Linked DNA regions of Nothobranchius furzeri. The protein of the gene in region 2 purifies or fractionates together with the protein of the main gene of each other region. This does not show direct contact. Links are inferred from orthologs where the notes say so. Each region holds a gene or a part of one and is shown on either strand. Other genes may lie near its edges.

Region 1 (4,125 bases), on a different chromosome or scaffold from region 2:
CAAGGCTAAATAATAAAACACCTCTTTTGTGGAGCTCCTACATATTTCTTTATTTCAGAAATACATTTAAACAAGCAACCGGTACCGGGAAGAAAAAAAAATGTAAAACTATAAAGCTGTGCCTTTATTTCTCTTCTTATTGAGCATATAAGAAAAAAAAGCATTAATCAATCCCAGAGACCTTATCAAGCCATTTTTAACAGCAAATTTACTCGTTTGTGAATAAAACCTATGTAATGTCTAGACAAAGTCTTTAGTATTCTTTGGACTTCAACCATCAAAATAAACAATCATGACAATTCTTACAGGATCAGCTGTTAAAGTTTTGTTACACAGTTTCCACTCTTCCCAGTAGATCCAGGAGTCCATCCTTACTGAGGAACATAGTCTCACCCGTCTGCTGACACACCACCTCAATCTTTGGATTTTCCTCTAAAGCCACCTGTCCTACTACGATGACATAAGGGTAGCCCAGTTTATTAGCATCCTTCAGCCGCTTTCCAATGGTCATGTGTGTGCGGTCATCAAGAACAACTTCACCTCTCAGATGAGGAACAGCTTCTCCCAGAGTCTGAACCAGTTCTTCTGCAAAGACTGCCGCCTTATCTACCCTACTGCCCTTCTTAGGGGGCAACACACAAACTTGATATGGAGCGATAAGACCCGGCCAGCGGATCTCTTCCTCTGTTGACATCACCTCGATGGCTGCAGCGAGAATGCGCGTCACCCCAAGACCGTAGCAGCCCATCTCTGCAGTAGCAGGCTTGTTCTGGGCACTGCTGAAGGTGGCTTTGAATATATGGGAGTACTTTTTACCCAAATAAAAGGTGTGACCTACTTCTATACCCTTTGATTCTACCAGTGAGCCAGTGTTGCACTGTGGGCAGTCGGTTCGGCCTGATGACAAAGTCTCCGCATTAGCGGAGAAGGAGCAGCTTCCACAGAGCAGCAGATGGTCCTCACCAATGTCTGCCGGCAGCTGAAACTCATGTGAGAGAGTACCGCCGATGTTTCCCGTGTCTGCCTGCACCTGAACGCAACGCAGACTCAACCTGGCAAAGAGTCGAGAGTATGCTTCACACACAGACTCGTACGTCTGGTTCGCAGCTTCTTCGCTAACATCAAATGAGTACATGTCCTTCATGTAGAACTCTCTCCCTCGCAGAAGGCCAAACCTTGGCTTGGGTTCATCTCTGAACTTCCTGGTGATCTGGATTTGAAGAAGAAATCTCAGTAAAAAACCCACAGCTAGTGACAGTAACAAGCTGGAGGCTTACTTGGTAAAGAAGCAGAGGCAGCTGTTTGTAGGACAGAGTCGTCTGATGAGCGACAAGGGTCGTCACTGCCTCCTCATGGGTGGGACCTAAGCAGTAGTCTGCCCTGTGGCGGTCTTTCAGACGGAACAGCTCCTTTCCCATCAAATCCCAGCGCTCACTGGCTTTCCAGAGATCAGCTGAGCATAAACTAGGCATGTCTAGCTTCTGTCCACCAATCTCATGCATCTCCTGGTCAATCACTTTAATCTGTTGAATAAAAACTCCAGTTATAATTGAATAACAACCAAATAAATACAATTATTCTCTGTTACAGCAGTAATTTATTTTTTTACTTGAAAACATAAACTGGATTGTCAATGTTTGGACACTTAATCGCATTTTCTGTTATTGTTATTTCTTCCAGAGTCTAGTGGTGATGTTTAAATAGTTATTCTTCATACCAAACACAGAATACATTTCCTTTAATTATGTTAAAACGTGCAGATAACTTTTCAAATCCACACTTTACCGTTGAGATGTCATCATCTTACTGAACGTCCTCATCGGGCTCCATTCAAACAAAACTTCATGCCAAAAAGTTCTGTTTTGATGTCAATATTCAACACGACCTGCTTTATTGTGTTTGGAAATGTAGCTTCTTTTATAGTTGTAGCAATTGGTACAACTGTTGCCTTGCAGCAAGGAGGTTGCAGGTTTGAATCCTAGCTGGGCCTTGCTGCATAACGTTGCCATGTTTTCTCACTTTTGAGACAATTGTCCCCAGATGTGATACAATGTGACTTTACGTCCCTGTGACTGACTGGAGACTTGTCCTGAGTGTCCCCCACATCATGCCAGATGACTAGGCACCAGCTCCCTCCCTCCTGAGGAGCTAGCATTTAGGATATTACTTTATTACAGAACAAAAGCTAATTTAGAGCTCAGACCTCAGAATTTTTTAATTTTTATTTTTACGCACAAAAGCACGATAAAACCCACAGAAACAGTTGCTCAAAAACATTTTGTTATGCAAATGAAAACCCACCAGCTTCTCCATGGAGCGCACGGCGGCAGGAAGGTAGTAGTAGCACCCTGGGTTGGATGGATGGATGAGCCCAGCCTGCTGCATGAGTCTCTGGCTCTTACAGGTCATCTGCCCCGCCAGCCGGCTCTCCTGACCCACATCACGCAGGTTCGAGGGCTGGTACAGACGAGACACCAGGAGCCTCGGACGGACACGAGGGGACGCAGAGACAGCTGCGTGCTCAGCCTGACCTGACTGGAACCTTTTTGGAAGAATAAAAGCTCCGTGGAGGTAATAAAAGGATCTCCTCCAGGTCTGGTGGGTCGCTGGCTCCATCAAGACGTTCAAGTGGTGTGCAAAAGTCCAGTAATCTACAAATGTTAGCTTATTAAGTTAGTACAGGTAACGATACCAGCGCTGAAACAAAATAATAAAAAAAAAACCGAAGGCACATGGAGACAACGACTGTGTGGTTTCTTAAGTTAAAACAAATTCATGAAAGAGAATGCCAAACGACGGCTGTAAACTACAAACACAGTCCGTGTTAAAGTAAGCTCCGCTTCCGGTTTTCATTTGCTGTGCACCAGAGCTTGAGAATGTCACAGCGCCACCTGCAGGCAGGGCGTAAACAGGAACAGAAATGGGTCAAGCGTGTTTTTTAACGTAATAGCACATTTCTGTATTCTATATTCTCTCCCGTGTTATAAAACAACACAATTACAAATTAGGGTTCTATTTCCTCAAACTAATCAAATCTCAAAAATTTTATATCAAAGAAGAAGGGCAAAATATATCAATCAATGGAAATGTAATCAATAAGGTTAGGAGTAATACTTGATCACAAACTATCCTGGAAACACCATATAAAATACAAAAAACAAAAAATAAATGCAAAAATATATCGATACTAAAGAAAACTAAACACCATATCTGACTTACTGTGTGGAAATATGGGGCAGCACATATAAAACCAATACCAAACCTATAGTCATTTTACAAAAAAGAGAAATCAGAATCATTCATAAAAAACATTACAGAGAACATACCAATGAACTGTTTATCCAGTCAAACATATTGAAATTTGAAGACAAAGTAAACCTCTCCACTCTGTTGGTCATATACAAGGTCAAATACAAACCACCAAATGACAGTCATAAGTATTTCAAACAGAGCAACCACAAAGACAACAATGAGATTTTCAACAAATATTTTGTAGAACAACGCTGAAACAAATGAGCTTATCAATAAAAGGTGTTAAACTTTGGAACTCATCGGACAAAGAACTAAAAAAGTGTCTGACAATCAGTCGCTTTAAAAACAACTACAAAGAAAAAATTATTAACTCATACCGAAACATAACAAATGAATAGCTCACGTGATGCAAATGTACAGCAACTCATAGCAGGATTACTTATCTAACCTTGACTAATCACACACTACTTTGCAGTATAAAAGTTACAACTCTAGATTCATTGTAATCGTCCTCGTCGTTGTCTTCCTCCGCTTATCCGGTCCGGGTTGCGGGGGCAGCATCCCAACTTGGGAGCGCCAGACCGTCCTCTCCCCGGCCACCTTCACCAGCTCCTCCGGCAGGACCCCAAGGTGTTCCCAGACCAGAATGGAGATGTAACTTCTCCAAAGTGTCCTAGGTTGACTAGGGGGCCTCCTGCTGGCAGGACATGCCCGAAACACCTCCCCGGGGAGGCATCCAGGAGGCTTCCTAGCCAGGTGCCCAAACCACCTCAACTGACTCCTTTCGATCCGGAGGAGCAGCGGTTCTACTCCGAGTCCCTCCCGAATGTCTGAGCTCCTCACCCTATCTCTAAGGCTGAGTTCGGCCACCCT
Region 2 (3,960 bases):
TCCTAATCTGTGTGTGCCACAGCTGAATTACCCTAATCTAAGTTCTTTCCCTTCCTTTCAATACCAGATTTAGCAAAAAACATTTAAGAGTTTTTAGTAACAATGTGTTAAACATACTGAGCAGTTTTGTTGTCATTAGCCAGTCCGTTTGTTTATTCGACTTTCTGACACAAAGAACATATTTGCACCAAATCAGCAACACAAGATGGAGAACACGAGCTTGTGATTGGTTAGGACAACACTTTCGTCAACAGCACCGCTGTTGCCCTCTCAAAAAAATAAAGAGAGCCGAAGATATCTAGCGGAAGACATGGAGCAGCTTGAAGAATACCTCGTAGAAAAACTCAAAATATGAACGTTTTATTCACCCGTGACTGGAGGAGTAAAAGGATGCAAGCAATTTATTCGTGGACAGGAAGGAGGGGAAACGTGGGTTTAGAGGTGGTGAGTGCATGAAGAGGTGGAGGAGAATGACAGACATATTTGTCCGTGTTAAAAGGTTTCTGAAATATAAAAACACAATAGTAAATGCACGATCTTGGACCAGATGCATGACAGGATATCACAGAACAGCGCTACGCCTTCTGTTGTCCAGACGGGGAATTGATTTGCAACAGCCCCCATGAGACGGAGATGTCTCTTGTGTGGTTCCCTCCCTCGTGGAGCTGATGCAGAAGCATAAACTAGCCTTAAGACCCAATGCTCAGACTCTACATGTGGTAGCGACATGTCACACATAAAAACAAGCTAATAGTTTTTACACATGTCAGACTTTTGAATCCAAAAATCCACAGGACCCAGAGACTCTTGATTTTTTGTTGATGACTTTTGTTTCTCAAACTTTATCTGCAAAAAACGAATACAGACTATGTTGTTGACGTCTGTTGTCCTTTGGGCTTGCTGTAGAAAAACAAAGGGGGTTATGGGAGATGGAGAAGGAAGACGAATGAAAGGACGTAAACAATGTTTTTCTCGTATTTGACATAAACAGAGACAACGTACTTTCTTGACAATCTTCGCTGTTGTGTGTGGAGAAAAGTGAAAAAATAAAAACAAACAACATGTGTTGATGCATAATAAGCTCGGCAGCCATGCTGGCGCATGTTCTGGGTGAGCAGAGCTGCTTCAAGACTGCGAGACCCTCACGAGGGAGGAGCAAAATATCAAACATGTTTGATATTCATGCGACTGCGTGATTGCTGCTCAGGAGGTGTTAATCACCTCACATTACTCCCATACACTAGACAATACACGAACTTGCCCTGACCTAAAAGATTCTTGCATGAGAGAAAAATTGGCTCAAAACGGTCCAAAAATCACAGTGTACGCCCGGTTTTACTGTAATATTGTGGATTCCTTTTAGACTATGAATTAGAAATTTAAAAGAAAACAAATGGTCACGTGTGCATAAGCGCTTATTTATATGGCTCAAGTAAATTTTGCAGCCCTACACATATTATATTTAGCATGATGTTGAAAATGGCTCTTTCGGTCATAAAGGGTTTGAGCCTTTGAGCTAGATGGACGGTGGAAACCACTTAGGGGTTACTGAGCAGTAGCATTAGATTTTATCACCGGTGAAATATTAAATGTGCAGCACTCAGGCATCTTCACGGATCAGCAACTCCAGTGGACTGAGACGCTGTTTTCTCATCAACAACAAATAACATGAGTGGAGGAGAGTGATGAGTCACTGGAAACTAACTGTAAACAGAGCGAGTGGCTGTTCTGACAGAACAGGAGGGACAAAAGTCATGCTTCTGAAACAAAAATGTGTTCAAATGTAGGTTTAATTTAATGGTTTCAATCGGCACTTCCGGTCAAGGCGAGTGCTGATAAACCAAGCTAACGGTGCCCAAAACGCGAATCACCCTCTGACAACACGGGGAGTAAACGTGGGTGTTTGTCCAACTTTCTGTTTCAACACACCTGAATGCGTAAATATTTCCTCAGCGTGATGGTCGAGCCTGATGGCGGATTTTGTTTACCAATATATATTTTTTGTGGAAGCAGGGGAACGGAAATGAACACACGTCTTTTTAGCCACAGGCGCAAACACCAGCCACAGGAGGTTCACTCGGGTCTTGACAGAGACTTTTGGCTCGCAGGCCAACATATTGCTGACAACGCTAACTGGTAATAAGAAATAAATAATCATCAGTTTAACAAGTTGCACCGTTTAGTGCAACCCAACAGTTCCAACTCGTTATGGCAAAGAAGACAAACTGAGTGTGGCTGCATACATTCCAGGTCTGGCGACAACTTTAGCTTTGAGACTAGGCTACATTAGCAGCTAAGCTAAAAGCGCTATCATCTTGGGTGGGCAGGATGTACTCTGCATGTCGGACCTACCTTTAACCTTTCCAAACGTCCCGACTCCAAGCGTGTCCCCGAGAATGTAATGTCCTATTTTGACTCTTCCTTCATGTTTTTGTTTTTCCGTCGCCATCTTCCCGCAGTGGCCTTTCTGCGGGGTTAGCTAGCTGCAGGCGGACACAGACCGAACTCAGCTGTGTGCGGCTCTCTAGCGGCTCGGCTCCGTACGGCGAAAGTGGGACGACGCGCCCCGGCGTCTGCGTGATTCGTCAAAACCACACGAGACGTTGCGTTCACGTAACACAGAAAGCTCGCAAATATTAGCATCTAAGAAAAACAATGCGAGGAGCTCGTTTTCATGATCCTCTGACAATAGTAACGGAGGAAATAGTAACGTCATTTTAAAAGTATGCTTTGAAATGTAATGAAGTAATCATAAAAACAAATATGATTTATTCAAGTATTTATTTTGTAATCTTGTATAACCGGAAGATGTAATCCATCACTTTATGCAATTGCTAAAAAGACCCTTAATATCAATAGAAATTTCTGTATACTAAATAAAGTACATGATAAAAATGTGTTAAAAATTCAAGCAAATTACATCTGTTATTTGCACGATGGGCATGTGTTCTGAGCAAAATATTTCAATAAACAGGAAGTGTTTACTATTGGTTTAGGGAAAACTGGACCGCAATTCGCATTTATCTAATAAAAGTTTATGAGTCATGTCACAAAATAGTCACTTTCCCAGGTGTCCTGCAAAAATTGGCTGAACAAAAAGTTATTAATTACTATCTGGTTAAATCTATTTTAATTGATTGTGGCGCCCATTTGATAAACCTAGAGAAAATATATCAGTAAACAGCTTTAACAGGATTCACAACAAAGGCATGCATGTGAGTAAACCAGACTTTATTATAAAGCAATAGAAATCTGTGTTGACACAGAAAGCACCCAGGCTGGATGACGTTCAGCTTTGTGTAAACAATGAACGCAAGTGCTGAACTTAAATGCTGAACACTTTATTTAAACTCCATTATTACACAGCAAAGAACAGAAAAACATTTCAAAATGAACCAGAGCTACTAATCCAGTACATCATATTTCAACAGTCAGAGCAGGAAACAAACCAACATTCATCAGTTTAAATTTGACACAATCCACACACCTGCTAATGAAAATCTACAATCATTATTTCAAATATTAATTCTTTTTTGACACAGTCCTGCTCAGATGTGTCCAGGTTGCATCTTGCTGTGCATTATAAAAATCTCCAAAGGTTAGAAATAAAAAGCAAATTGTTTACTCAGCAAAATGTGTTTTGAAGATACACGGATTCACACGCAAAATGTTTCACACTGAAATATTTAAGAGGTTAAAAACTGAAAATGAGTGACCACATTTTTGAAAGACTGTGAGGCTCAATGCATCTTTAAAAAGGACTAACATCACCATGAAAGATGTTTTATATGCTCATCTATTTTATACTCACAATTGAATACGGATATATATATGTAACCCCAACCCTAACCCTATATATATATATATATATATATATATATATATATATATATATATATATGTATATATATATCATGTAATATATTTTTCTTGATATATTTCAATGATTTTATTTAAGTT
Region 3 (4,294 bases), on a different chromosome or scaffold from region 2:
GTACCAAAAATGTTCAGTATATAGCCCAACAGGCGAGCAGAAATCTGCTGCCAGCATCTCGCACATCCATGTGGAAAAAGGAAAAATCAACAGAAGCTTTGCCAGAGCAATAAAAACTGGAATAACATGTCACCTTTAAAGCTTGTTGACTTTTTAATCACAGCAGCAATCATCGTCCATTCGCTCCATTTTACTCCCATCTAAGAAAGTCACCCCTGACGTAACTACCTTGACATTGTACAAAGAAGAGGAAAATGTAACGCAGCTATGGTAAGCATGCTGGCAAACACTGGTGGATGGTTATAATCAGCTGAGACATTAACACATTTCATCAGAGCTCAGCTGCTTTGGATCGTAGGAACGTTACTGCGGTCAAAGTTGAAACAAAACAAATAAAAGTGGCATTTACCAGTATTGGTTTTTTTTTTTTGTTTGTTTGTTTTTCTCAAGTACCACAATCACCAAATAATTCTCTCTTAAAAAACGTTTTAAAACTCAACATAGGTGTATACTTGCACATCATCTGGTAGAAAGAAATTTTTCTCAGTTTAATAATCATTTTTATTGTTTTTGCTCTAAAGAGAGAAGTCTGGAAATCTAAACAAAGGAAAAGAACTTTGTGTTCTTTCATCTGGCGGACAAAGAGAGACAAGATGTGACTCTAATGACTTAAACACTTGACTCTTGGACCAACAAACATGTTAAAGGCTTTGGTTTTTATGTTTATAAGAAGCTTTATAAACTAAGATAAGAAATATCTCCAGTAAAGGCAAAACTGATCAGAAAGCAGCCTCGCGAACACAGACTTTACTGTGAACTCGCTTTAATAAAAGCAGCTCTTATTAGTAGATTTATTTTCCGTTAATTACACAGAAGGGTCCGTCATTCTTTGCAGATATCACGAATGAGCAAAAAGATGCTTCTCTGCATAAAAAGAAGACCATGTAAATAAACCTCTAATTATTAAACGACAGGCTGAGCAGCAGAATCCTTGTTTTGCATACTGATCAGGAAATAGAATTTGAATCGTTTCTAAATGATTTCTTATGATGCTGAGGCACTTTCCATGCTCCTCATCACACAGGTTGAAACCACAAAGAGCCGTCTTGACTGGCATCACTTTACCCCGCATCCTCACTTTTGTACTTGTATGGAAAAATACAGTTTTTATCCTGAAAAATGTCCCAAAACGTCCGTCCATCAGCAGCTCCACCCTTCCCCGTGTCTTTTAAATTCCACGGATGTCATTTCAGATGTAACTCATGTAACTCGTGTGTCCATGTGTGTGTCTGAACACAATGTTCCTTCTATTCACAGTTCGCCACCGGCAAAGCCCAACAGCGTTCATCAACCTTAAACCCCCCTGATGCACCAGCTTTAATTTTATTTAACAAAAAAAAGGCAAATAAGCTGTTCTAATTTGGTAAATTTTGCATACACTCACATTTTTTACCCCCCACATGATTTAAACTGAGATAAACCAGCGTTGTGACTGCTTATCATCACTGATGATTGCAGACAAGTAAAAAGTTACTCATCCCATCATTGTGATCTCGCCCTTCTTTTTGGTGTATTTCTGTCATCTCTTCCTCGTAAATAAAATATTGACACTTTGCAAAAGCAGAAACAGGGTGTAAATTGTTCCAGCACTGATAAGATGGTACGTAGGCTTCATGTACCAATAACTAAGATGCCCTGCGGAGGAATGCAGGAACAGAACACAATGAGCCAAAGACCACATCCAGAGACGCACACAGTGTATCTGTACATTCTGTTTCACATCCGTACTCTGTTGCTGATTCATACCTAACAAGTGGAGACTCACTGATAATCCTGCACACACAGACACCCCAAAAAAACTAAACTTCTTTTATTAACCTGTTATGGTGCTAAGATTATGATAATAACTTGATATTTATAGATGTCTATCATAAAAATGCTGTAATCATTAAAATCTATTTGTTTTCCAGGCAAAAATTATGCCTGACCTTAACTTTTATAAGTTGTTAACTGACAAATAAACTTTATTTTTTTTCACCTGAGCTGATGAAAATGTGTGCATTTTTATTAGATACTTATAGAATAGTCCTGGCTGGAACTAATTTTGGAGGACCATTTTTGTGCTTATCCCCTCAGCACCTGGTGTCAACCTAAACATTCAGAGTTCTTCACAAGCTGCTCAGTAATATGTAACCAGGTTGTAATGAATCAGCTCAGAGTCGAGTTGAGTTATAATTCTCAGAAGTAGCCTGCACAAAACCCCTGTAATTTATGAAAGGGACACCTAAGCCTAGAGGGATCCTGGATGAGAACATCCACCAACCTCTTCTGGGACCTTCACAAGAAGGCTAAGGACCACATTCAGCCAAAACCTATCCATCCTGGCTCACTTTCCCCCCTCCTTTAAATAATCTTGTATATTCTTATTCTTTAGTGAGACTGTGCACAAGTTCCGTTTAACTCAGCCAGGCGTGAACGAAATTTAAAAAAAAAGATTATTTTAATTAACTCCTAAATTAAATAAAGTATTTCAGAAAGATGAAGATCTGTGTATTAAAAGAGACTTACGATGTTTTGAGGTCCGCTTTTTTATTTTCTTCCCCCAGATGGTTGCCGGTGACGAACAGCTGCAAATTCACTCGGTGGATGTTTATTTCTAAGAAAATGCGTCTTCCTATCTCAGATCCAGCAGGGTACTAAGTGTTCTGCCCATGTGGTTCTTAGCTATGGACTCTTTTTGTCTTTATCCCACCCCCCTCTGCTCCTTCTTCCTCTCCTCAGTGATGAAAGTACCGGTGCGGTCGCAACACGCAGCTCTGACTCCAAAATGACACTGAGGAGATACTACAGAGACAAACTCGCACAAAAATGACAGAGGCAGGAGGAGGCGAGGGGGGTGGAGGGGGGTGGCGGGGGTAAGCAGAAACGAGATGAGTTGTGGGGAGGGTGTTTAGTGTAAAATTAAGGGCAGGTCTTGGAAAGCAGCCACAAAGTAACACAATGTTCCGGCTGTACTGTAGCTGTGCCGCTGCTGATGAGAACACAGTGTTCCAACAGACACCCTGACCTGTAACCCGTTCCGTGCCAGGCCGGGCGGGAACAGCCTGTTCCGCTGCAGCGTGTTCCTCCTCTCTCCGCTCAGCGGACAACACATATCAACAACAAGAGGAGCTGTCTCCGTCTCTCTGTCAGTCCCAGCCGAACCGAACCCCGTAGCAACACGGAGACGTGTCAAAGCACCGACACTGACGTACACCTCTGAGTCCGATGAGTCGCGCGGTTTGACGGATTACTGTTTCTGAGGGAGACGGTAAAAACTCCTCCGCCTTTATCTTAGTTTTTTTTATTTAACGCTGTAGTTACCGACAAAAGCGCGACTTTAGTAGCTGTTTTGTGCGATGATGTGCTGTTATTATTAATTAATGCTCTGTTATGGCTGTTATTTGAACACGAAAGGGGGAGTTGCACCAGCTATATTAGCTTAAGGCTAAACTTGCACAGGTGTTTTTAGCTAGCTATTGAGAATAAAAGCCTAACCGGTGCAGCAATACGTTTATTTGTGCTTTCATTTCCTAAATTAGGACTTTAAAAGAGAATGCCAACAGGAACTGTTTTGTTAAACCAATAACTTGAGTCGTAACTTAACTTTTTCTGCCTGATTAAGTTATTATGTCAGATTAGCATTTTGTATTAGGGAGTGACAGATTATCCCTGCCAAGAAGTAGGATGCTGAGGTTCAATGTAATTTTATATTCTCCACCCAGGAACTAATTAAATACTATTTAAAGTAATTTAACATTCACCAGGCTATCTTTTCCATTTGTTGTCACCTTACACTAAGAATAAGTTATGTTACATGCTAACTTTATACTTCTAGTTAATACGTAATTGGATTTTGAAGCTATTGAGTTCATTATTGAAAAGTAACCATCCAATTGACTATGCAATGAAATATAATTAAAAAGCTTCTAGAAAATAATTATGGATTAAACTGCCCTAAACTCAGCATGAAAGGTAAAAAGATGAACCCATCAGGTAATATGCAAGATTTCTAAACGTACGTTTCTGAATTTACTTTTAAATTTCAGTAAATATGAATGCATCGACTCTTGCATCCGCAGCAGAGTAATTTCACTTTACAGTGAGCACATTGTTCCATGGATTTTTATTTCTCTTGTAGTTACATAACATCATAATGACACTTTGTTCAGGTGGTGTTATATGAGACTCTCTTTCATAAGGTTTAATATTTTATGATCTCATATTTGCAAGCCATATCATTTCAAGGAAAATT

The links. The genes of interacting proteins can lie anywhere in the genome.
Region 1: the proteins of prkaa1 (region 2) and pars2 purify together in Homo sapiens (affinity purification with mass spectrometry; 3 studies listed by BioGRID and IntAct, with this or other methods). This does not show direct contact. The link is inferred for Nothobranchius furzeri from reciprocal best matches to the Homo sapiens genes PRKAA1 and PARS2.
Region 3: the proteins of prkaa1 (region 2) and fkbp5 purify together in Homo sapiens (affinity purification with mass spectrometry; 3 studies listed by BioGRID and IntAct, with this or other methods). This does not show direct contact. The link is inferred for Nothobranchius furzeri from reciprocal best matches to the Homo sapiens genes PRKAA1 and FKBP5.

What each region holds. Positions count from the first base shown.
Region 1 is NC_091748.1:68,230,470-68,234,594, reverse strand, and holds pars2 (probable proline--tRNA ligase, mitochondrial), read right to left. Parts: upstream 2,801-4,125; 5' UTR 2,617-2,800; coding exon 2,302-2,616; intron 1,524-2,301; coding exon 1,278-1,523; intron 1,211-1,277; coding exon 329-1,210; 3' UTR 25-328; downstream 1-24. UniProt on the Homo sapiens protein: Mitochondrial aminoacyl-tRNA synthetase that catalyzes the specific attachment of the proline amino acid (aa) to the homologous transfer RNA (tRNA), further participating in protein synthesis.
Region 2 is NC_091746.1:66,884,407-66,888,366, forward strand, and holds the start of prkaa1 (5'-AMP-activated protein kinase catalytic subunit alpha-1), read right to left. Parts: upstream 2,801-3,960; 5' UTR 2,450-2,800; coding exon 2,353-2,449; intron 1-2,352. UniProt on the Homo sapiens protein: Catalytic subunit of AMP-activated protein kinase (AMPK), an energy sensor protein kinase that plays a key role in regulating cellular energy metabolism.
Region 3 is NC_091743.1:66,802,749-66,807,042, forward strand, and holds the start of fkbp5 (peptidyl-prolyl cis-trans isomerase FKBP5), read right to left. Parts: upstream 2,801-4,294; 5' UTR 2,569-2,800; intron 1-2,568. UniProt on the Homo sapiens protein: Immunophilin protein with PPIase and co-chaperone activities. Component of unligated steroid receptors heterocomplexes through interaction with heat-shock protein 90 (HSP90).